Arabidopsis thaliana: one gene and its partners. The protein of the gene in region 2 binds, or shares a complex with, the protein of the main gene of each other region. Each region holds a gene or a part of one and is shown on either strand. Other genes may lie near its edges. The genes, in order: SKIP, RS40, SMU2 and U2B''.

What was found.
Region 1: RS40 (region 2) and SKIP share a complex: the UniProt entries of both Arabidopsis thaliana proteins name them as parts of the spliceosome.
Region 3: RS40 (region 2) and SMU2 share a complex: the UniProt entries of both Arabidopsis thaliana proteins name them as parts of the spliceosome.
Region 4: RS40 (region 2) and U2B'' share a complex: the UniProt entries of both Arabidopsis thaliana proteins name them as parts of the spliceosome.

Annotation. Positions count from the first base shown.
Region 1 is NC_003070.9:28,999,067-29,003,689, reverse strand, and holds SKIP (chromatin protein family), read left to right. Parts: upstream 1-1,554; 5' UTR 1,555-1,726; intron 1,727-1,849; exon of another isoform or gene 1,850-2,025; 5' UTR 2,026-2,057; coding exon 2,058-3,899; 3' UTR 3,900-4,113; downstream 4,114-4,623. Other genes in the region: AT1G77170 (Tetratricopeptide repeat (TPR)-like superfamily protein), read left to right, coding at 4,154-4,623. UniProt on the Arabidopsis thaliana protein: Splicing factor involved in post-transcriptional regulation of circadian clock and flowering time genes. Associates with the pre-mRNA of PRR7, PRR9, ELF3 and GI, and is necessary for the regulation of their alternative splicing and mRNA maturation.
Region 2 is NC_003075.7:13,022,895-13,027,986, forward strand, and holds RS40 (arginine/serine-rich splicing factor 35), read left to right. Parts: upstream 1-1,603; 5' UTR 1,604-1,783; intron 1,784-1,870; exon of another isoform or gene 1,871-1,937; intron 1,938-2,060; exon of another isoform or gene 2,061-2,268; 5' UTR 2,269-2,273; coding exon 2,274-2,379; exon of another isoform or gene 2,380-2,955; coding exon of another isoform or gene 2,956-2,962; exon of another isoform or gene 2,963-3,118; coding exon of another isoform or gene 3,119-3,161; coding exon 3,162-3,274; intron 3,275-3,362; coding exon 3,363-3,604; intron 3,605-3,677; coding exon 3,678-4,235; intron 4,236-4,315; coding exon 4,316-4,349; 3' UTR 4,350-4,546; downstream 4,547-5,092. Other genes in the region: AT4G25510 (uncharacterized protein), read right to left, coding at 4,549-4,609, 4,754-5,092. UniProt on the Arabidopsis thaliana protein: Required for constitutive and alternative pre-mRNA splicing. Involved in primary miRNA processing and pri-miRNA biogenesis. Binds both intronless and intron-containing pri-miRNAs.
Region 3 is NC_003071.7:11,254,431-11,260,950, forward strand, and holds SMU2 (RED family protein), read right to left. Parts: upstream 4,641-6,520; 5' UTR 4,484-4,640; coding exon 4,437-4,483; intron 4,346-4,436; coding exon 4,205-4,345; intron 4,110-4,204; coding exon 4,060-4,109; intron 3,983-4,059; coding exon 3,868-3,982; intron 3,793-3,867; coding exon 3,744-3,792; intron 3,643-3,743; coding exon 3,553-3,642; intron 3,004-3,552; coding exon 2,935-3,003; intron 2,528-2,934; coding exon 2,404-2,527; intron 1,923-2,403; coding exon 1,516-1,922; intron 1,373-1,515; coding exon 989-1,372; intron 901-988; coding exon 619-900; 3' UTR 502-618; downstream 1-501. Other genes in the region: AT2G26470 (embryonic stem cell-specific 5-hydroxymethylcytosine-binding protein), read right to left, coding at 4,886-5,653, 5,805-5,870, 5,951-6,060. UniProt on the Arabidopsis thaliana protein: Auxiliary spliceosomal protein involved in splicing of specific pre-mRNAs that affect multiple aspects of development.
Region 4 is NC_003071.7:12,904,845-12,909,548, reverse strand, and holds U2B'' (U2 small nuclear ribonucleoprotein B), read left to right. Parts: upstream 1-1,883; 5' UTR 1,884-2,114; coding exon 2,115-2,187; intron 2,188-2,526; coding exon 2,527-2,699; intron 2,700-3,299; coding exon 3,300-3,393; intron 3,394-3,506; coding exon 3,507-3,595; coding exon of another isoform or gene 3,596-3,655; exon of another isoform or gene 3,656-3,722; coding exon 3,723-3,992; 3' UTR 3,993-4,204; downstream 4,205-4,704. Other genes in the region: AT2G30270 (LURP-one-like protein (DUF567)), read left to right, coding at 492-713, 904-1,104, 1,397-1,522; WRKY25 (WRKY DNA-binding protein 25), read left to right, coding at 4,460-4,696. UniProt on the Arabidopsis thaliana protein: Involved in nuclear pre-mRNA splicing.

The DNA of each region.
Region 1 (4,623 bases), on a different chromosome or scaffold from region 2:
GACCCTTAATTTAACATGTCCATGCACTAACTCATATGCAAATCCAACGATGTGAAATTTAAAACCTTTTTTTTATTCATTTTTAATCTTTGTAAAACGAACTTATATTATGTTTGAACAAATATTTTTTCATACGCAATCCTTAGATGGGGAAATTAATACCTTTGTAACAAAAAAAAAAAAAAAATGTTAAATCAACTAAGTATTGGGTGAGTCTTCTCAACGAAAACATCAATCAACACCGGCCTCATAAGTTGATTAAATTAACACATTTATTATAATCATCGTACATTGATTTGAATCAAAATTAATTGTTACGTTAATTAGTAATGCATCTAACTATCCCGTAGGAAAAGGCCATTATATTGGGATCCGCGGTCAACGGAGGTTCCACCCACGAGCACGGTCTTTATTTGTTTTTTCCTTTCTCAAATATATATACGGATGTATGATTTTTTGCTTTTGGGGTTAAACAAATATGAATTACTGTGCTTAGATCAGAAATAGACACTTTTATACAAATGATTATATGATTACTGTTCATAGCATAAGCTCCTATGAAAACAAATAATAATCGCAACAGCCGTTTAACCTAATCGAATGCTGAAAAGCCCTCAAAATAGTTCATCTAATCCATGAATCGATTTAACAGAAAAAGTTGAAAATTGTATGCATATGATATACTCAAGTATATTCCGAGTTTTGAGTTGTGTAATGCAAGGAGTCAAGGACCATAGTTTGTCGTTGAACACAACCACGCCAAGTTGTCCACCAAAACTGGAAACTAACTACCATGCCGTTGTTTCCATAGAAGCAAAACCATTAACCTTCCCATTATCCCGCATGGCCACATATATGTTTAATAATATTTCTCACCATACATTTAAGTCTCTCTCGTAGTCGTTATTTACATAGCCTACGTAGTTCATTCATATCATTTTTGTTTCTTTACCTTATATCAAACAAATTGGTTGTTGATTAGAAAAACATAAATTGGTTCATTAAATATCAAACTAACGCCATCAATCTATTGTTTTTTTATAAAAAAATGAAAGAGAAGAAAGTTTGTTGATATGAAACTTACACTTGCTTTGAGTTTTGATAGACAAACCAAAGCCTAACTAGTATTTCCTCTATTGGTACTTGAATTCTGAACTTTTTCACCTTCCCTTTCGAGGTGGTTTAACAGTATACCAGTTGAGATGTACCAACACCAAATTCTTATACTTTTTTTTCTTTTAACCTTGAATTCAGTATTTTAAACGAAACTATGGGAATGTGTTTGAGACGGATTTTCATTAAGGACAATGCAAATAATTATGAGATGCTCAGAATTGTTGTATATATCAAAAAGCCAACACCTATAGTTATATATATAACTTTCTTCGATTTAAAAACAATAAGTCGCTTTGGCCGAGTGGTTAAGGCGTGTGCCTGCTAAGTACATGGGCTCTGCCCGCGAGAGTTCGAATCTCTCAGGCGACGTTATCCTTTTCGTTTTTTCGTCTATTTTTAAACCGACTTACATAGACACTGCGTATAAGACAATTGATTCCTTTTTTTTGTTGTTAATCCTATCAACCCTAGAAAAGGCTTCACGCCCGATTTCTTTTTTCCCCAGAAAAAGGCTTCACTTCCGTTCGTTGTTCTTCATCGGTCTGCGCCGCCTCGCACATCGTTTCACCTTTCTCAGAATCTCTCTTCCCGTCGATTAGTTTCCTCAGAGGTTAGCTTCTTCGATTTCTCAGATTCAATTCTGCTTTTTGCTTTCCTCCTGTTGTTTTTAGGTTTTTGTCGATCTCTATGTTCAGCGATTCCTAAACCCTACTTGTTTTCCGCTCTATTGTAGTGAATCCAACCCAGATTTTTCAGATTTTAATCGGAATTATTCGGGATCTAATGCTCGCGTCGAGTTTATCGCTAGAAAACCCTAATTTCGGAGGATCTGTCACTTTTATTATCAGAAGCTTGTTGTTGTAATTACGGATTAGGTATGTCCTGATCGTTATTGTTCTTTGTTTGCAGGTTGCGATTTGTTGAAAACCTTGATTTAGACTATGAAGTCTCTTAATGATCTTCCTGCGCCCAAATCAACCACTACCACGTATTATGATCATTCTAATGATGCTTGGTTCAAAAACCGAGTCACTGAATCCGAGACGGTGAAATCCTCCAGTATCAAATTTAAAGTGGTGCCTGCTTACCTGAATCGTCAAGGTTTACGTCCGAAGAATCCAGAGGATTTTGGCGATGGTGGTGCTTTCCCGGAGATTCATCTTCCTCAGTATCCTCTTCTTATGGGTAAGAATAAATCCAATAAGCCTGGAGCTAAGACTCTCCCTGTTACTGTCGATGCTCAGGGAAACGTGGTCTTTGACGCTATAGTGAGGCAGAATGAGAACTCGAGGAAGATTGTTTATTCTCAGCATAAGGATATTATTCCAAAGTTTCTGAAAAACGAGGGAGACTTGGGTACTGTTGTTGATGAAGAGGAGGAATTGCAGAAGGAGATTCAGGAGACTGCTGAAGAAACGAAAGCTGCCATTGAGAAGATTGTGAATGTGAGACTGAGTGCAGCGCAGCCTAGTAATATAGCAAGGCAATCGGGAGATTCACAGTACATTAAATATAAGCCATCCCAGCAATCTTCTGCCTTCAATTCTGGTGCTAAAGAGAGGATCATTAGGATGGTGGAGATGCCTGTAGATCCACTTGATCCACCAAAGTTCAAGCACAAGAGAGTCCCAAGGGCTTCTGGTTCTCCGCCTGTTCCGGTCATGCATTCACCGCCCAGGCCTGTTACCGTCAAGGACCAGCAAGACTGGAAAATCCCTCCTTGTATCTCCAATTGGAAGAATCCGAAAGGTTACACAATCCCTCTTGACAAACGTCTAGCTGCTGATGGAAGGGGCCTACAAGACGTTCAGATCAATGATAACTTTGCCAAGTTATCAGAGGCCCTCTATGTAGCTGAGCAGAAAGCTAGAGAGGCTGTTTCAATGCGTTCCAAGGTGCAAAAAGAGATGGTGATGAAGGACAAGGAAAGGAAAGAGCAGGAATTGAGGGCTCTTGCCCAAAAAGCTCGCTCCGAAAGAACCGGTGCTGCTATGAGTATGCCTGTCTCATCTGACAGGGGTAGGAGTGAAAGTGTTGACCCAAGAGGTGATTATGACAACTATGACCAGGATAGAGGAAGGGAAAGAGAAAGGGAAGAGCCTCAAGAGACGAGGGAGGAGAGGGAAAAAAGGATTCAGAGAGAAAAGATACGAGAAGAGCGTCGCAGGGAAAGAGAGAGGGAGAGAAGGTTGGATGCCAAAGATGCTGCCATGGGGAAGAAGAGCAAGATCACCAGAGACAGAGACCGTGACATCAGTGAGAAAGTTGCTCTTGGAATGGCATCTACTGGAGGAAAAGGTGGTGGTGAAGTTATGTATGATCAACGTCTGTTTAACCAAGACAAAGGAATGGACTCTGGTTTCGCTGCTGATGACCAATACAACTTATACGACAAAGGCTTGTTCACTGCACAACCAACTCTTTCGACTTTGTACAAGCCAAAGAAGGATAACGATGAAGAAATGTATGGAAACGCTGATGAGCAGCTCGATAAGATCAAGAATACTGAGAGGTTTAAGCCTGACAAAGCTTTCACAGGGGCTTCAGAGAGGGTGGGTAGTAAGAGAGACCGACCTGTTGAGTTTGAGAAGGAAGAGGAACAAGATCCTTTCGGTCTTGAGAAGTGGGTTTCTGATTTAAAGAAGGGTAAGAAACCTTTGGACAAGATCGGGTCTGGTGGAACTATGAGAGCAAGTGGCGGTGGTGGTAGCTCTTCAAGGGACGATGACCACGGCGGTTCTGGTCGAACCAAGATCAATTTCGAACGCAGTGACCGGCGTTAAAAGTCAAGACAAAGAAAAAGCTCAGTAACTGATCTTTGATTTCAATATATAACTTGTTATTTTGGATCTGTTAAAACAGTTTGCTTTGGATTATCAGTATTTATGTTGTTGTGAGTCTCTTAAACTACTCGAATACAATCTTTCAGCTTCATAATATCAGATCTTTTGAGCTTATTTTAGTTTCTTTTTCACTGTTACAACTTTGTGTACTTAAGAATCTTAGTTTTGAATCAGGACAACAACAAAAAAGACACATGTTCTTCTCTGGTCTTATCTCCAAGCTTCATGTTCATGGTACTAAGAGAACAAATCACTTCACGATCTTTCACCGTTTGAATCATTTCGTCACTACATCATCTTCCTCGGTTACGCCTCTTTCGCCTCAAGATCGAAACAAACTCTTAGCTACTCTGTTATCAAACTGCACTAGCCTAGCTCGTGTTCGTCGGATCCATGGTGACATCTTCCGTTCACGAATCCTCGATCAATATCCGATCGCTTTCTTATGGAACAACATCATGCGATCTTACATTCGCCATGAGTCTCCTCTCGATGCAATTCAAGTATATCTCGGTATGGTGAGATCGACTGTTTTACCCGATCGATATTCTCTTCCGATTGTAATCAAAGCAGCCGTTCAAATTCATGATTTTACGTTGGGAAAGGAGCTTCATTCCGTCGCCGTTAGGTTAGGGTTCGTCGGAGATGAGTTCTGCGAGAGTGG
Region 2 (5,092 bases):
TTGACCCTTGTAAAGAGACTTTTGACTCTTCACTCGTTAACCTTTATGAGTTCTTTAAATTCTATCGAGTGTGTGCCTGTGTGGTTGGCTGGCTGCTGTTGTTACAATCGTTTTTAAATTCCTATGAATAAACAAATTGTCATTAATTGTCACCCGTCTATAACATAATAGACATAAATATCTCTGTGAAATGATATTTTAAATACTCATGTAGTATTTGTATTGGAAGTAGATGTCCTAATATTTAACCAAAAATAATACTACAATATAGAAAAGCTTGATTTTTTAAAAAAATTAATCAGATTTGGTAATGGATAATTATCAATTTCGATGGACGGTTAAAAATGAGTCATAAATGCATATGATGAACAAAATTATTCAGTTTAAACAAACTATAACCAAAAACATGTAAATGGACCAGGACAGGACTAAGCGAAGGATTAGACCAATACAAAATAGCAAGTTATCTTGAATCCCAATAATTCCCACAAAATATCTCAATCTCAATAATAGCTATATTGTATTGACAAAAAAAAGGTATAAAAAATCTTCACAATAAGATATGCATGAAATATATTCGCTGACAAAAATATCTCTCTCGTTACCTCTCGCTCTCACGTTATTGACATTTAGGAGAAAAGAAGACACAACAAAGAGGGAAAAAAAGAGTGGTAAGGTGAAGAAAACAACAAAATTGGCTTTAGTGGAAAATAGAAAGTAAAGCTTGAGAGTGACGTATGGGGCCAGTGAAGGCTGGTGGGGAAGGTAGGGACAGTGTTTCCGCGGCCGAACCACGGGTTTAGAGGATTTTGACGTCCCCACGCATTATCTTGTGGAACCCATCTTTCTGTTTTTGGAAAATCGTACGGACGTTCGTTTTTGAATTATTTGCTGAATCGGGTTGTTTGGGTTTCTACTCTGTTTTGGGATTCTTCAGTGGATTGGACTGGATCTTTTGTAGCTTTTTGTTGGTAGATTTGAGACGCCTCTATTTTATGAATATCTTAATAGCTTTTTGTTGCATATTCAAGCGAGATAAGAAGATAATTGAGGCTTTATGGCATATTTGAAAAGTCGAAACTCGTTCTCATTCCACGTGTGATGATATGTTCGTGGCCACATATCATTCGGCCTTGAAAGCAACTACTAAACTCTTAACATAAGTGAAGCAATCCAATGAAGAGGAAAACAATTTATTTAATTAATTGTAATATATAAATATACACATTTCTTTATAACAACAATTATTAAACTTACTAACAAACTCATATGTTTCATCGAATCCAAAACTTGACATGTGGGATCTTGAGAGTGTTAAGTTGCAAGACTTTTTAAAAACTTGTATGCATTATTCATTGTGTAGATGTTATGTGATACATGTTCTAGTTCTATTAATCAGTATATTCTAATCAAAATTAAAAAATCTAATATTTGTTTGTCTTCATAATCTGTTATTGTTTTGTTTTTTTAGAAAGCAGCTTCAATTTTGTTTACTTGTTGGGCTTCTTATAATTTGTTTAACATATAGGCCCAATACTCCTAAAAAGTAGACGTTCTCGACTTCTCGTCCTTCAGACAAAATAAGAAAGTCAAAATGTGTTCTGAAAAAAATATCTTTGAAACTAAAAAGAAAAGAAAATAAAATAAAAATCCAAATGATCTCTCTTGCCTTCTTTATCTAAATCGTACCTAACTCTGTTTTCAGTTTCACCTATCTCTCGACGCGAGCTTCTTCTTCTTCTAGGGCTTCCACGCGACTACGCCTGCCAAAATCATTCTACAGGTAAATTGATGCAGTTTATTCACTCTCTATATCGTCGTGGTTCTCATCTCCTTCTTCCTTCTTTTTTTTTTGGTTGGTGAAAAGTAGAACAAGAGAATTGGTCCATCTCGTTTTTTATAAGTTGAATCTCATCAGAGCCTTCTTTGTTTTTCTGGTATGAAAGATTCATGCTTTCGTGGATTGTTCTCGTTTTCTCTATCTTGTGAATGATATTCAGATCTAACTGTAGTTAGATTAGATCTGTTGCATTGTACTTTTGATTCTAATACTGTCTAGTTCAGTTCCTAGATTTAACTGATTTGGAGCTCGAATAGATGAGTTTCAAGTCCTAATTTACTGCAAAACAATTCGATTTAGTGTGAGGGCTCTAGTTTTTAGTGTTAAAAGTTTTCATCTTGGTGACAAATTAGTTGTGATATTCGTGTTTAAATTATCATTTAAGGAAGTCTCATGAATCTTTTTTACTATTGTGGTTGTCTATACAGGAAGCATGAAGCCAGTCTTCTGTGGGAACTTTGAGTATGATGCGCGCGAAGGTGACCTGGAACGACTATTCAGGAAATACGGCAAGGTTGAGAGGGTTGATATGAAAGCTGGTGAGCCTTTTTTTTCTTTCTTTCTTTCTTCTGCCTCTTACTACTCTGTCTTTGTGGTTAACCTGAATGAATTATAATAAGCAGTATTGTTATCCACTAAGTACAATGAAAAAGCGAAATTCAAATGCATTTCATGAAATCCACTCTCGTCTTCATTCCATCCACGAGAAGGCTCTGGTGGACTATCTCCCTTTGGAAGGAGTACTAAACATTGACCACATTCACCTGGCCACCTGATGCAGCCTGCTTGAACTTTGGAAAGTACTTCAGAGGAATAAGATTTTTAGAAAAAAAATTAGTGTAAAACCGCATTTTCTTTGACGCAGGATGTGTTTGATAATCTTGGGACGCCTATACTCACACCTGGCCATGAATGGACCATAGGGAAATCCATCTCTTATCCCTCAAAATCAGTCACTTTCCATCCGCATTAGCACTGCCATCTTAATTGCATTTCATTCCTCATCACTTTGCACACTTGGACATGCCTCTGCAATGGAGAAGGCTCTCTATTTTCATTCATATCCCCGTCTGACTTCCACATTTTCAGTTGTTCCTTGACATATTAATTCCATAATGCAAGGTCTGTAACTGCTTCACTGGTCATTTGGAGTTTTTTTAAGGTTCTAGGAATGTTCAAAATTTAATATGTTCTAGGAGTTAAGTTAGGCGTTGAAGGAGGGAGGACAGTGTTCGTGTATGTTGAAGGTTCTTAATCTGGTCCACTTCCTCACTGTTAATGTACTCAGATCTTTGCTTTTGGCTTTTTCTTTTTTCTCCAGGGTTTGCTTTTGTATACATGGAAGATGAAAGGGATGCGGAAGATGCCATCCGAGCACTTGACCGCTTTGAATTTGGGCGTAAGGGACGCAGACTTCGTGTTGAATGGACAAAGGTAGGATACTTACCCCAGGATTTATTTCTTTCCAGACTTAGTTATGAGGTTTGAAATACTGATAACATAAATGGTTCTGTGTATATAGAGTGAACGTGGAGGTGATAAAAGATCTGGTGGTGGTTCAAGGAGATCCTCATCCAGCATGAGACCTTCCAAGACTCTCTTTGTGATTAACTTTGATGCGGATAATACTAGGACCCGGGATCTAGAGAAACACTTTGAGCCGTATGGAAAGATCGTAAACGTTAGGATCAGGAGGAATTTTGCATTTATCCAGTACGAGGCACAAGAGGATGCCACCAGAGCATTGGATGCTTCAAATAACAGGTTTGTTCTGTCCATTTTAGTATCTAATCACTTTCCTTTCTTAGACTCACGTTTCATCTGTGTTTTCATTCAGTAAGCTGATGGATAAGGTGATCTCGGTGGAGTATGCTGTGAAGGATGATGATGCTAGAGGAAATGGACACAGTCCTGAAAGACGCCGTGATAGGTCACCTGAAAGGAGAAGGCGATCACCTAGTCCTTACAAAAGAGAAAGAGGAAGCCCTGATTATGGCCGAGGAGCTAGTCCTGTTGCTGCCTACAGAAAGGAAAGGACCAGTCCTGACTATGGTCGAAGACGTAGCCCAAGTCCTTACAAGAAATCAAGACGTGGCAGTCCCGAGTATGGTCGTGACCGCAGAGGCAATGATAGCCCTCGCAGGAGGGAGAGAGTCGCAAGCCCTACTAAGTACAGCCGCAGTCCCAACAACAAGAGAGAGAGGATGAGCCCTAATCACAGCCCGTTCAAGAAGGAGAGTCCGAGAAATGGGGTTGGTGAAGTTGAAAGTCCCATTGAAAGGAGAGAGAGATCGAGGTCTAGCCCCGAGAATGGCCAAGTTGAAAGCCCTGGGTCAATAGGAAGAAGAGACAGTGATGGTGGGTATGATGGTGCAGAGAGCCCAATGCAGAAGAGGTTAGATTCTGAAATAGGTCGATACTTGTTTATATATTATTGATGACATGAATCGTAAACCATTTCTCTTGTTGTTGCAGCCGGTCTCCTCGTTCGCCACCAGCTGACGAGTGATAAGAGTGGATCCACAATCTCTATCAAAGTAGGATGTTGTAACTGTTTGTAGTCAACAACGCTATGTCGTCGTGATTAGTTTTTGTCGTTTGGTTTTTGATAGATTCGAACTCGGATCACTTTTATTGTCGGATTGAAAAACTTATGTCAAGTTACTACATTTCCGTTTTTTTTTATCACCTCTCAGTTTGAACCCCAATCATGTAATGCTTTCCCGTGACAATAAGATGCGAACCTCAAAACATCTTGCATCGAAACACCTTGAGAGTGACAAAATCGAACGCATCGTTAAGTAACTTAAATGGTACGCCGAAATTATGGAAGGCAAGAACGGTTCTATTGACTTAATTGGGTCTAAAAACTACTCTAAACGCCTCTTGTCAACGTTCGAACTAGTCCCTAACCTTTGACTCAAATATAAATATTGGCTACAAATAGACTTATAGTTCTGCCTACATTGGTCGTCTGCTTTAGTATATTTGTTACCAAGTAAAATGCTGCTGTAGAGTTTAATGATCTCTTTGTCTACTGGGTTTCTCCAATTTTCTGATCGTTGGGATTCGTGCAAGTCGAGAGAGTCTACTTGGTTGAAACTTTCTGGGTTTTGATTTGAGTTGCCCATTGGATTTGAAGTTTTAGTCTTTTGTTGGTAAGTTTTACCCTTTGAGATATGCTCGTCTGATAGTATAGGGCTTTCGAGTGTTATGAAAAATTCGCCTTTTCGTCTTCTGATTTGGTTTTCA
Region 3 (6,520 bases), on a different chromosome or scaffold from region 2:
GATTCAATCCTTGGTTTTCGTTCAACACATATCTCGCAGTCGAAAGAGCGTCTTCGTCGTTGTATTGGTCAAACAGAGGACTGTCCCTTTTCTATGGAGATTGGTGTGAAACAGAGGATTCTTACATCGTCATCTTCGTCGTTGTATTGGCCAAGATCTATGTAGTTTGTGAAACCGGATTTGAATGGAGTTTGAGAAGAGTGTATTGGCCAAGATCCTCGACGGAGATGGCGTCACGTTTGGTTGAACCACGAGCGGAGAGAGGTGTGGAGAAGATGAAACGGTCGGAGTCATTGACGGTGGCTGCATTCATGGAATCTGTGGCCATTTTTCTGATTAGGGTTTTATGATTTTTCTAGTTTTTTGCTTGTCTTGTTGGGTTGGTTACTGAAGCGTCTCATTTTTGGTGATGCTAAACCTAAAACCTAAGGCTGTCCCAACTCCCAAAACTGCTTCGTGTTTAATGGGTAATTAGGAAATAAGAATGCTATCATTTCAAAATTTGGACGTAAAATCTTTTCTAAATTAAGAATTTGAACTCAAGGTACCAAAAACCTAAACAGACTTGAAGATACAAAATAGATTACGAGAGAATGACTGGAGTAGACAAGAGACAAATCAATGCTTGGATCTCTTAGGAGTTTGTGCCTCGGCGGCATCCAAAGAAGCAACATCCCCACCCTCCTTCTCCATCTTCTTTCTCGTAAGTATCTTATTGATCTGGTGAAGTTCATTATTGAGCTTCTGGTCACGGTCACGGTTCTGCTTCCTTGTCTTTCGACCATCTTGCATCTTTACCCCGAATTGGAACGCCGCTTTTGGCATCGCTTCCTTCTGCTCATTATATTTTTCCCATTCCTCTTCTGTCTCAAAGTCCCATCGATGTAAACCACCCTTTGCCTGTTCCATGTACATTCAACAACCAGATACTGTAATTTTGCTCTTCCACAATAAATAACAAGGAACATGTAATTAAGTCAGGGCATACCTTTCCACCCATGTCCATTTTAGACAAATCAGGTTCTTCATCACTACCGACAATCTCATGGTTGTACTCTTGGTAACCTGGATAACACTCTGAATAACTCTCGGATACAAAAGTTGGATCTTTCTCCCTTGCGTCACTCTCCCTCAACTGTTGAAGCCTTTGGTCATCACGCTTGAAAACCGATCCCAAACCCCTATCTTTCTCTTCCTGCGACATGAGTTGAGGATCTAGTAAAACATCGGTTTCTGGTTGGACCTCGTAACCCTCCATTCCAGGTTGAAGGTACTGCTCCTGATACCCAGTTTGCTCTGCATATTGGTATTCCTGCCACTCTCCGGGGTACCCAGGAGCCAGTCCTTGAGTTTGCATTGCACCATATGCACTCTGGAAAAACACACAACCACCAGAAAAAACCTAAATATGGGAATAAATGACATCTAATAACTACATACCAAGACGCAAAATTTGCAGACGAGGATCAAGATTTGAGAATAAATACAACCAAGGATTAGCTAGGGTGAACTGACCATATCTTGCCATTCCTGACCAGCAGATGGCTGCACTGGACCATAAGCAGGCTCAGCGAAATAAGGTACCTTCTCCTGCACTGGACCATAAGCAGGCTCATCGAAATAAGATACTTTCTCCTTATCCCTGGGAGATTCTTCCATGTCCTCAGAAATAGGACTCTGTGTCACATCTTTACCAGGAACCGTGTAATCGACGCCTTCACCAACAAATATGTCATCATCGTCTGTCCTGGCAACAGGGGGTTCTTCTTGTTTCGTACTCAAATCCAGATGGTTTATCCCAGGTGGTAATGGCGGAGGAGGAGGTAAAACTTCCCTGTCACTTATGTTCACAGAAGATCCATTCTCAATCTTAGATTTATTGTCGTCTTCATCATAATCATTAGCAATAGTTGACATCTTTCCTGCATTTGAAAAGTTGCAGTGGATGTGATTAATAAGGCAAAATAATATAAAAAATGCATGAACGTATGATAGAATAGAAATTAGCAAATTATCTTGCTAAAGAATCAGAAACCAGCCAACTTGTATCCAATTGTATGCTGATGTGAAACAAGAACTACAACATGTACTGGCACCACATTAGCATAATAAAAATTACTAACAACAGAGTTTACAGAACCATCAAGGGACGGCAGCAACATATTTATGATACAACTAAATTTCTTCACAATTGATAAGCGAGAACACAACCAGACATCAGTAGATACTACTAGTACTGTGGTCAAAGACTAGGTACACTCTTTACATTCTTGGCTCCAAACTGTAAGACCAGATAATTAACAAATTTCGGGAAAAGCAGAGAACTTATTTAACCAGTGTAAGTGAATCAGGTCTGCTAATACTTAAACTTTACAAAAAAATGCACCAGTAGATGCAAAATACCTTTCCCATCTTTTTCTTTCTTTTTCTTCTTGAGAACTTTCCCCGACGACCCAAGGCGAAGATATGACATGATTTTAGCAATTCGATCTAGCACAGAACCATCAACATTGACTGTGACAAATTCCTGTTGGGGAGATAGGACAGAGAAACAGTGCCTGTTAAATGAAACAATTCTCGCAAAAATTGCAGCAGTGATTTCAATTATAAATTTTTATTATGTTCAGTAAACAAACATATTAAGCAACGTTAATTTTGGTTCCAGATTAGTAGAAAGAAAGTTGAATTTAGTTTAAAAAGATTTTTATAATTACTTAAAGAAAATCTATGCTTCTACCAAAACTAATGACTTATATAATCGATATTAGCTGTATTGAATACATCAACACTGTAAAAGAAAATAGGTTGCAGAGACAGGCAGAGTGGGCTTATTTTCATTAGAATCAAAACGATCATGTCACATCACTGCTTACAGTCTAAAGATTTTTCCAGGATCAAGAAGACTATTACAACAAGGACTCTAAGTATACATACCTCGGGCACCGGGCAGTCAGCTTTACTCCTATATAACGTGGTCGGTATGTCATGGGTATAGCCACCTTCCTGAAAAGCAACAAATAGAATTAAAAACAAAAGGGAATAAAATTAATATACATCAACAGGGAGGCTTTCAAAGGGCAGACTAAACCCATACTATAAGCTTAGCCTAGCAGCTTAGCTGAGACTAAGTATCTCAAAGGAAACTTCATACGTAACACTACCAAATATCAATAGTATATTCAACTGACTTTTCTTGTCGTATGGTGTCTCTATCTGCAAGAGAAAAAGAATATGCTTCTTCAAGAAGAGCAGACACGTTAATCGAACTAAAAAACCTTTACAACCAATTCTGCGTATAAGGTTTCTAACAAATAGATTAAATCGTGAATAAATCGCTAACAAGGTAATGCAAAACAGCTTAAGCTACCTTCTTAAAATTTTCCTGAGACATGTATTTAAACTAGAAGCGAAGATTTAACTAAATATTAACTAATACTCGAAGAAGAATCGTTGAAGCAGAATACACATGTATGACTACTTCCTAAGACAAACAACGACATAAGAACATGTAATAAGATTGAATCTTCCTGAAAAAGAGTTAACAAGCAATACCATATCATAGACAAATGTCATTCTACCGGGAAGAAACATCTCATTAGACTTGATGATAGTCTGAGGCTTAACAATCCACTGGTAAACTGACTGAAACAGATCAAAGACAAGAGAAACAAAAAACATCAAGCGCGTTAACTACATCCCAAAACTTGCTCCTCATCTGCAAAGTTCAGAACAAAATTGCATACCTTTGCAGCTATGGTACGGAAAGTAACTCGCTGATCTTCCTTAGGCGCACTGTTAATATAGTAAAATTAGCACTTGAATCAAAGAAGCCAAATGAGTCAATAAACCAAGTATAACCAAATCTACCTAGTCTTCCCACCATCACCATCTTCACCATCAGGTTTCTTAACGATTTCGCTTCGTACTTTATTCAACAAAGCATAATCCAAACCCTTAACTAAATGGGTATGTTCAACATCACCTAAACCATATCATAAAAACAACATAAGCACCTCAAAAAAAAAACATTTTGAATAAATTTGTAAACCTAACACAAACCTCCAAGATATTTGCTGTTCTCAATAGATATCTTAAGTGCATCAGCAGCACTACAACAAAAAAAAGTACACAGCAACAGAAATTTAGAGAAACCCAATTAGAATTTAGAAAGATAATGAAGTAATCGAGGAAAGACAAGTGCTACCGGATATCGACAGCTCCGGGAGGAGCAACGGCATGGAAAGAACTAAGCTCTGATGGATCATAATCAGGATTTTGATTCTCTCTTCTTTCTTTAGCACGATCTCTGTATTTTGGATTATCGGATTCCTCTAGTTTCTCCTCTCTGTGAAGGAAAAGTGACGAGTTTTGATGTTTTTGTGTAAAAACCCTAGCTTTTGAAGAAAAGGGGAGAGAGGAAAATGAAGATTTCTGACCTCCGACGAGCGGTTTTCTCCTTGTGATGCGATTTTGAAGGTTTCATTAGATTTCGTTAATTCGATTTCTTGTCGTGAAACAGAGAAAAATCAGATTTTGGCTGAAGTTCTTCGTTCTGATGATATCTGTGTCTGTTTCGATTTCAAAGCGTTGGTGGTTCTGGTCAGGGGAAATTAGAATTCGATGTTTAATTTAGAAACCGGATCTAATTTAAACCGATAAAATCGTTTAGCGACCGGGTTTGATTATCGAAACCTGGTTCACAAATTTTTACCATCCACCAAGGACATTAAAAACCCAATTCATTCATAATAATATTACCTTAGATCAAAGATCAAACACTACACATACAATACAAGCAACATTCCCAAAACGATGGTCTTATCTAACATTATCTACAACAAAAGTAGGCCAACATGGTCCTCATAGATGTTATGTAGACTCAAAACTATTTCTCATCGAAAAAGAAATGTAATGTAGACTGCGTCTCCTTAGATTTCTTGATGTTAGATTTCCCCATTCCATGCATCTTTCCTTGTTTCCCACTGCTTTTAACATTTTGCAACCTCTCATAGTGTTTCTGTGGCTTTTCTTGAGCTGAGAATACCTCATAGTCTCGCTTTGTCCCACTCTTTTCGCTAAACACTAAGCCACCTTCCTTCGTCGTCGGGCTAGTTAAAACTGTCTTCTGGTTTTCATTTCCTGGAATATCTTCGACAGCCTCATGCAGCTGATTCAATCTCTCATCTGCAGTAAAGAAATGATGGCTTTGAGTCTCGGGTTCTTCTTTTGAGATTCTTTGGAGATCAAGGATGTAGGACTCAGCCGGTATACTGGCACTGCTCTCACCTGTTTCTTTAGTAAGACCAGTCTTTAGGGATTTGCCTTCTTCCTTTGTACCCTCCTGAACATCATTCTTTACAGGTTCAGGAAGTGACGCAACTGCTGAGTTATCTTCAACAAATGGTTCTGCTTTCACAATCTCTTGAAACTCCAGATTTTTGGCTACATTCGACATATCTTTCTCCCCGTCTAGTTCTTCAATTTTCTTAATGCTGTCAGAAAACGTGTCCTTTTCAGCCGTAGGTTCCTTTTTCAAATCAACTATGATATTTGCATCTGTTGATTTGGTTTCTTTGTCTCCTTCATCTGTTTTGGGCTGCTTTGTTGAGAAAAACTTCGAGATCAAGCTATTTTGTGAAGTCTTTAGCGGTATCTGCAGGTGGCATAATCCTTATTTGAAATGACAATAAGCATACAGACTGTACAAATACATAGTGATCCTGACAATATGTTTAATGCGACTTGAGATCAAACTTGAGATTTGAGTTGTACACTACTAAGAAAGGGAAAGATGTTAACCGTACCTGTTGAATACACTCTGGTCCATCAAACGTTGGTTTACCAATTGCAGAGGTTACTGGATACCATACCTGAAAGTTCAAACTTCAATCTCAAGTAAATGAAAAAGGAAAGACCACTCTTATATGCGAGGAAGTAAGCAATTGCATACCAAATCCGATTTTTCATATGGTGAAAGTAATGGCTGCAGTTTCGTTGTCGAGGGATCATCTAACCATGTGTCGATTGAATCCTTATCACCAAGAATTACAGGCATTCTGTCTTACATGAAAAATAAACAAACTCACGTGTTAACACAAAAATTCAGGGCTGCTGCAAATCAACAAAACAATCATCAACAGCCGCTAATAATGTAAGCATTGTATAAGAAACGCTACTCTCAATATTAAACTACCTTAAACAGCCACTGCTTGTTCTATTCCAGTACTTAAAGAAGTTAAAGATTCTCATGCAATTACATATGTATCTTTTCTAAAAGAGCTTATCAAATCAGATGTAATACGAAAACAGAAACAACTCATACTACTATGATAAGTTTGTATCTTTATTAATGTGCGGGTTTGATTAAACCTCATTTTAAACAACGAGGAACACAAGCTTCAAGCGTCCATAGACAAATATACAATTCCCAACTTCATATGCTATGTGTTTCATTGTGCTACTGAGAATCATTACTGAATAAGAAAAAATGTCACACGATGTAGCCAGTGTATATATTACT
Region 4 (4,704 bases), on a different chromosome or scaffold from region 2:
GGATGGAAATGCAAAAAAAAAAACCTTTATAAATCAATTCATGTCAAAGGTATGTTCACTAAAAATGTATCTTTTCCAACAAACACATATGTTAAACCATACGTTTTTCCAACCTAATGTAAGTAACACATTTACCATTTTCTATTAATTTATTAATCAAGATCAAACATCAAAAAAATGTGTTATTACTTTTTAGTTTTTTTTTTTGCATTTCAGTTTTGTGTGAAAAAAAAAACAAGAATTGGTATCTCAAGAACGTAAAAGAAAATTATCATTACTATTTTATTATCTTTGGCTTCTACATCCAATTATTTACTTGCTTAATTTTATTCATCTGAATTATTTTTTGGTGTAAGAAGAATGTTTCGCCGCAAAAAAAAAAATCTGATCCGACATCATTAGAACAAAAAAAAACATTGGCGTTGAATATAAGCTGCTTCTCTTGTTCTTCTTCTACCTTACGCTTCTGACTGTTATTAGAGACTATGTAAATGGCTGATTCCGAGACTCCGTATCACCCCGACCCTGAGGATCTCCGGCGTATACCAGTCGATCTCTTCGCTTCCAAAAAGCTTCCCGGACTTTCCTCCGGCGATCTCGGATTTGCCGATTCTTCCGAACATCTCGTCTTCATCCTCCGCAAATCTTCTTCCTCCTTGAAATCTCTCCTTGATTCCTCCGGAGTTCCTCTCTTCTCCATCTCTCGTCTCCACGTAAGCCTCCTTCGTCCCAAATTTCATCGATTTTGGCAATTCTCATCGCTACTTGTTTAAATCTCATTATTCATTACATAGTCCACACGATGTTTATACTTTTTGATTGTTTGGGTTTTGTTAGTTAGTCACTGGCTTGAGATATATCATAAGAACACTTACAGATCTTTGTATATGTATTGGAATGTAGAATGGAGTGTGGGAATTACATAAAGGAGATGTGGAAAAGCGTAAGGATTTGGTTCTAACGGTGAAGCGGACATCGAAAAGATTCAGTAAGACAGAGTCAGAGGTCTCTTTTGCTGGAGAATCGTCCGAAAATCTTGTTATCAAAGGTGTTCCCTTTCAGAAATCTTGTACCATTTATAGTCAAGATTCCATTGTTGCACAGGTAAAGATACTCATCTTCTCCCAATTACAGCACTATTGAACATTCTATAGCTAGACAAGAGTCAATACCGTGTTATACTGGTTTTGATTACCGGGTTCAAAACTCATCGTTTGGATCATGCTTGCTGATGGATAAACAACCAACCCTTTGTTTCGTTCATTTGAAGTCGGATTCATTAGGCTTGTAAAATTTGCTTGGATTCTAATACACTTGTTTTAAAGATTTTTGTTGTTGTTGTTGTGTTTGAACATTTGCCTCAATCTGATTTATGTTCCTTTAAATGTGGTGGCAGACGAGTTTGATGTACAAGCTGAGACAGATTTACGTAGGGAGAAGCAAGTTCCGGTTAACGATATTTCCTGGATCCATCGATCATTCACTAGTAGTCGCAATGGTTGCCATATTTCTTCAAGGATGAAAGTGAAACATCCTCGATTTATTTTCTCAGTGTAAAGAAAAATGTAACACAGAAACAAAAAGGCATTTTAGTACATTGCATTTTTAATGCCTTTTGATTCAATCGGCTCACACGTGAATTGTATTATCTATCACATGAATATTGAGATATACTAAGGTCTAAGGTTAAATCTTTTTTCAGAACAAATTTGCAAGCTCAGCTGGAAAAATACAACATCATTTACATTATTTTAAAAAGTTGTTGAACATTTGAATCAAAATGATTCACAAGACTTTTGTTGGAATTTTGCAATAAAAAAATTGATCTCGAGTCTATAAAAGTCCAATCCCGACCACTCATTCTATTTCCGGTTCAATTCTGTCTAGCCGGTCAAATTCAAATCCGGTCCATCCGGTCGGCTCATTCACGTTGGTACAAAAGTTTAGGAAATCGAACCAACAAACTAAACGGCGTCGTTAAATAGTCTGATGTTGAAACGCAGCTATTTCTTTTACTCTTCTTCGTCTCTCTCATTCCCAGTTCCCACCATTAGGGCTCTCTCTAAATTCCTCAGTCTCGAGAATCTTCATCGTCTTCACGAGCTCACTCGAAGATGTTAACGGCAGATATACCACCGAATCAATCAATCTACATCCAAAACCTCAACGAAAGGATCAAGAAAGAGGGTAAACTTCTCTTCTCGTTTAATCTAATTCGTCAAGTAAATTTCCAAATTCTTAGATGTTGAAACCTCCATGAACTTCCTGTACCAATGATTCAAGCTTCTACAGTACTGAATGTTAGGGTTTTTGCTTGTTTTTAGCTTATATAGAGTGTTCGTTTCTAAATACTAGGGTTTCAGAATCGTATTGAATCTAGTGACAAGGTTATAAGGAAGATATATATGTTGGTGTTGTCTGTTTTCGCCATTGTATGGATAATTGTTATAGACGTGTGAAGTAGTGTTGGCTCAGGGCAGTATCATCAATCTCATGCTTTATCTGACTTGGTTTTTGTTTTCTCAGAATTGAAGAGATCTCTTTACTGTTTGTTCTCTCAGTTTGGGAGGATACTTGATGTGGTTGCTTTGAAGACTCCGAAGCTCCGAGGACAAGCTTGGGTTACTTTTAGTGAAGTCACTGCTGCTGGTCATGCTGTTCGTCAGATGCAAAATTTTCCCTTCTATGATAAACCAATGGTCAGTATTTCATCACTCTTGAGTATATCAATCTCTTTATAGTTTCCATGAAAGTGATCTTCTATGTGTTGTATAGATCGATAGAAGCAAATCGTTAGTGTGTTTGTGTAATTGATTACTAACAATTTGTTTTGGAACCTTTGACCTTTTTCTATTCCCAATCCATTGGTAGTCATATATGTGTTTAGATTTTGTTGCTGTTGATGAGTAACCAATGATTAGTATCCACTACCTTTTCTGTCTTGAGTATATCAATCTCTGTATAATTTCCCTGGAAGTGATATTCTGTGTGTTGTATAGATTGATTGATGCGGTAAAAGCAGAAATCCTTAGTGTGTTTATGTGATTACCAATGATTACCTTTGACTGTGTTATTCTCAATCAACATTTAGTTATATGTGTGTTTGGATTTTGTTGCTGACCTTCTCAAATCACATTCTCTTATGATTTCTGTTGTCAAAATGTTTGTTCTGTTTGATATATACATTGTTTTTATAACTAAATCTTACCTCTTTCGATTGTTTGTAAACTATTCAACTACTTCCAATCAGGTTGAGATTTATTATTATTCATACTTTTTATGTGATCTTTTAAGTGCAGCGCTTACAATATGCAAAAGCAAAGTCAGATTGTCTAGCTAAAGCTGAGGGAACTTTCGTTCCAAAAGATAAGAAGAGGAAGCAAGAAGAAAAAGGTTTTAAACTTTATTTCTTCTTTTTGCATTTTGTCGTAGATGTTGGTTCAATGATACAACTATAAAATTTTCACTTGCATCTAAAGTTAACAAACTTCCTTTCTTACTTTCAGTTGAAAGAAAGCGTGAAGATTCCCAACGACCAAACACGGCTAATGGCCCAAGTGCTAATGGTCCAAGTGCCAATAACGGAGTCCCTGCGGTAAGTGTTCTTGTTCTCACCTTCATCTTCAGAAAAATCTTCCATTGTTGGATCATGTGAACCAAACTATTGTTATCTGGAGATGATGCTGATGTTTTGCGTTTTATCTCTGCTCTTCTTAATGCAGCCTTCGTTCCAGCCGAGCGGGCAAGAAACAATGCCACCAAACAACATACTCTTCATTCAGAATCTCCCACACGAGACAACAAGCATGATGCTACAGCTTCTCTTCGAACAGTACCCTGGATTCAAAGAGATAAGAATGATCGACGCAAAACCAGGAATCGCGTTTGTAGAGTACGAAGATGATGTTCAAGCTTCCATAGCTATGCAACCTCTTCAAGGTTTCAAAATCACTCCCCAGAATCCAATGGTCATCTCTTTCGCCAAGAAATGATAAGAGTCTTGTTTTTGTTTGTTTGTTGTCCTTTAAGACGATAGTACTGGACCAACCAAACCTGGTGTGTATAACCAACCAACGGTTCTATTGGTTAACGGATTAATCCGGTTTTGGTTTAATCATTGAAAGAGACCCTTGAAACGCGGTTTCACACTTGACGATTTATCACAAATTAGGAGACGACTCATCAAAAAAGAATATCTTACTGGTCAACCATTTTATAGAAATATTAAAATCAAAAATGATATTTAGGCCAAAGTAGAAAAAGACAAGAAGAGAGAGAAACAAAAAAAACCTTGCTCAATACGCCACCGTCGTCGTCTTTAACCCAATCTAAAAGCCTCTGTTCTTTTTTAGTTTTATCCTCTTTTTCATTTCAAGATCAATTTCATAAAAAAGTTTCCTTTTTTAGCGAATCCTCTGTTTTAGAAATCTTAAAGTTGTCTCCTTTATTAAAGACCATCATGTCTTCCACTTCTTTCACCGACCTTCTTGGTTCTTCCGGCGTTGACTGTTACGAAGATGATGAAGACTTGAGAGTTTCTGGGTCGAGTTTTGGTGGGTACTATCCAGAGAGAACCGGGTCTGGTTTACCTAAGTTCAAGACGGCTCAACCACCACCTCTTCCGATTTCACAATCTTCTCATAACTTCACTTTCTCCGATTACCTTGATTCTCCTCTGCTTCTCAGCTCCTCACACGTAATAAA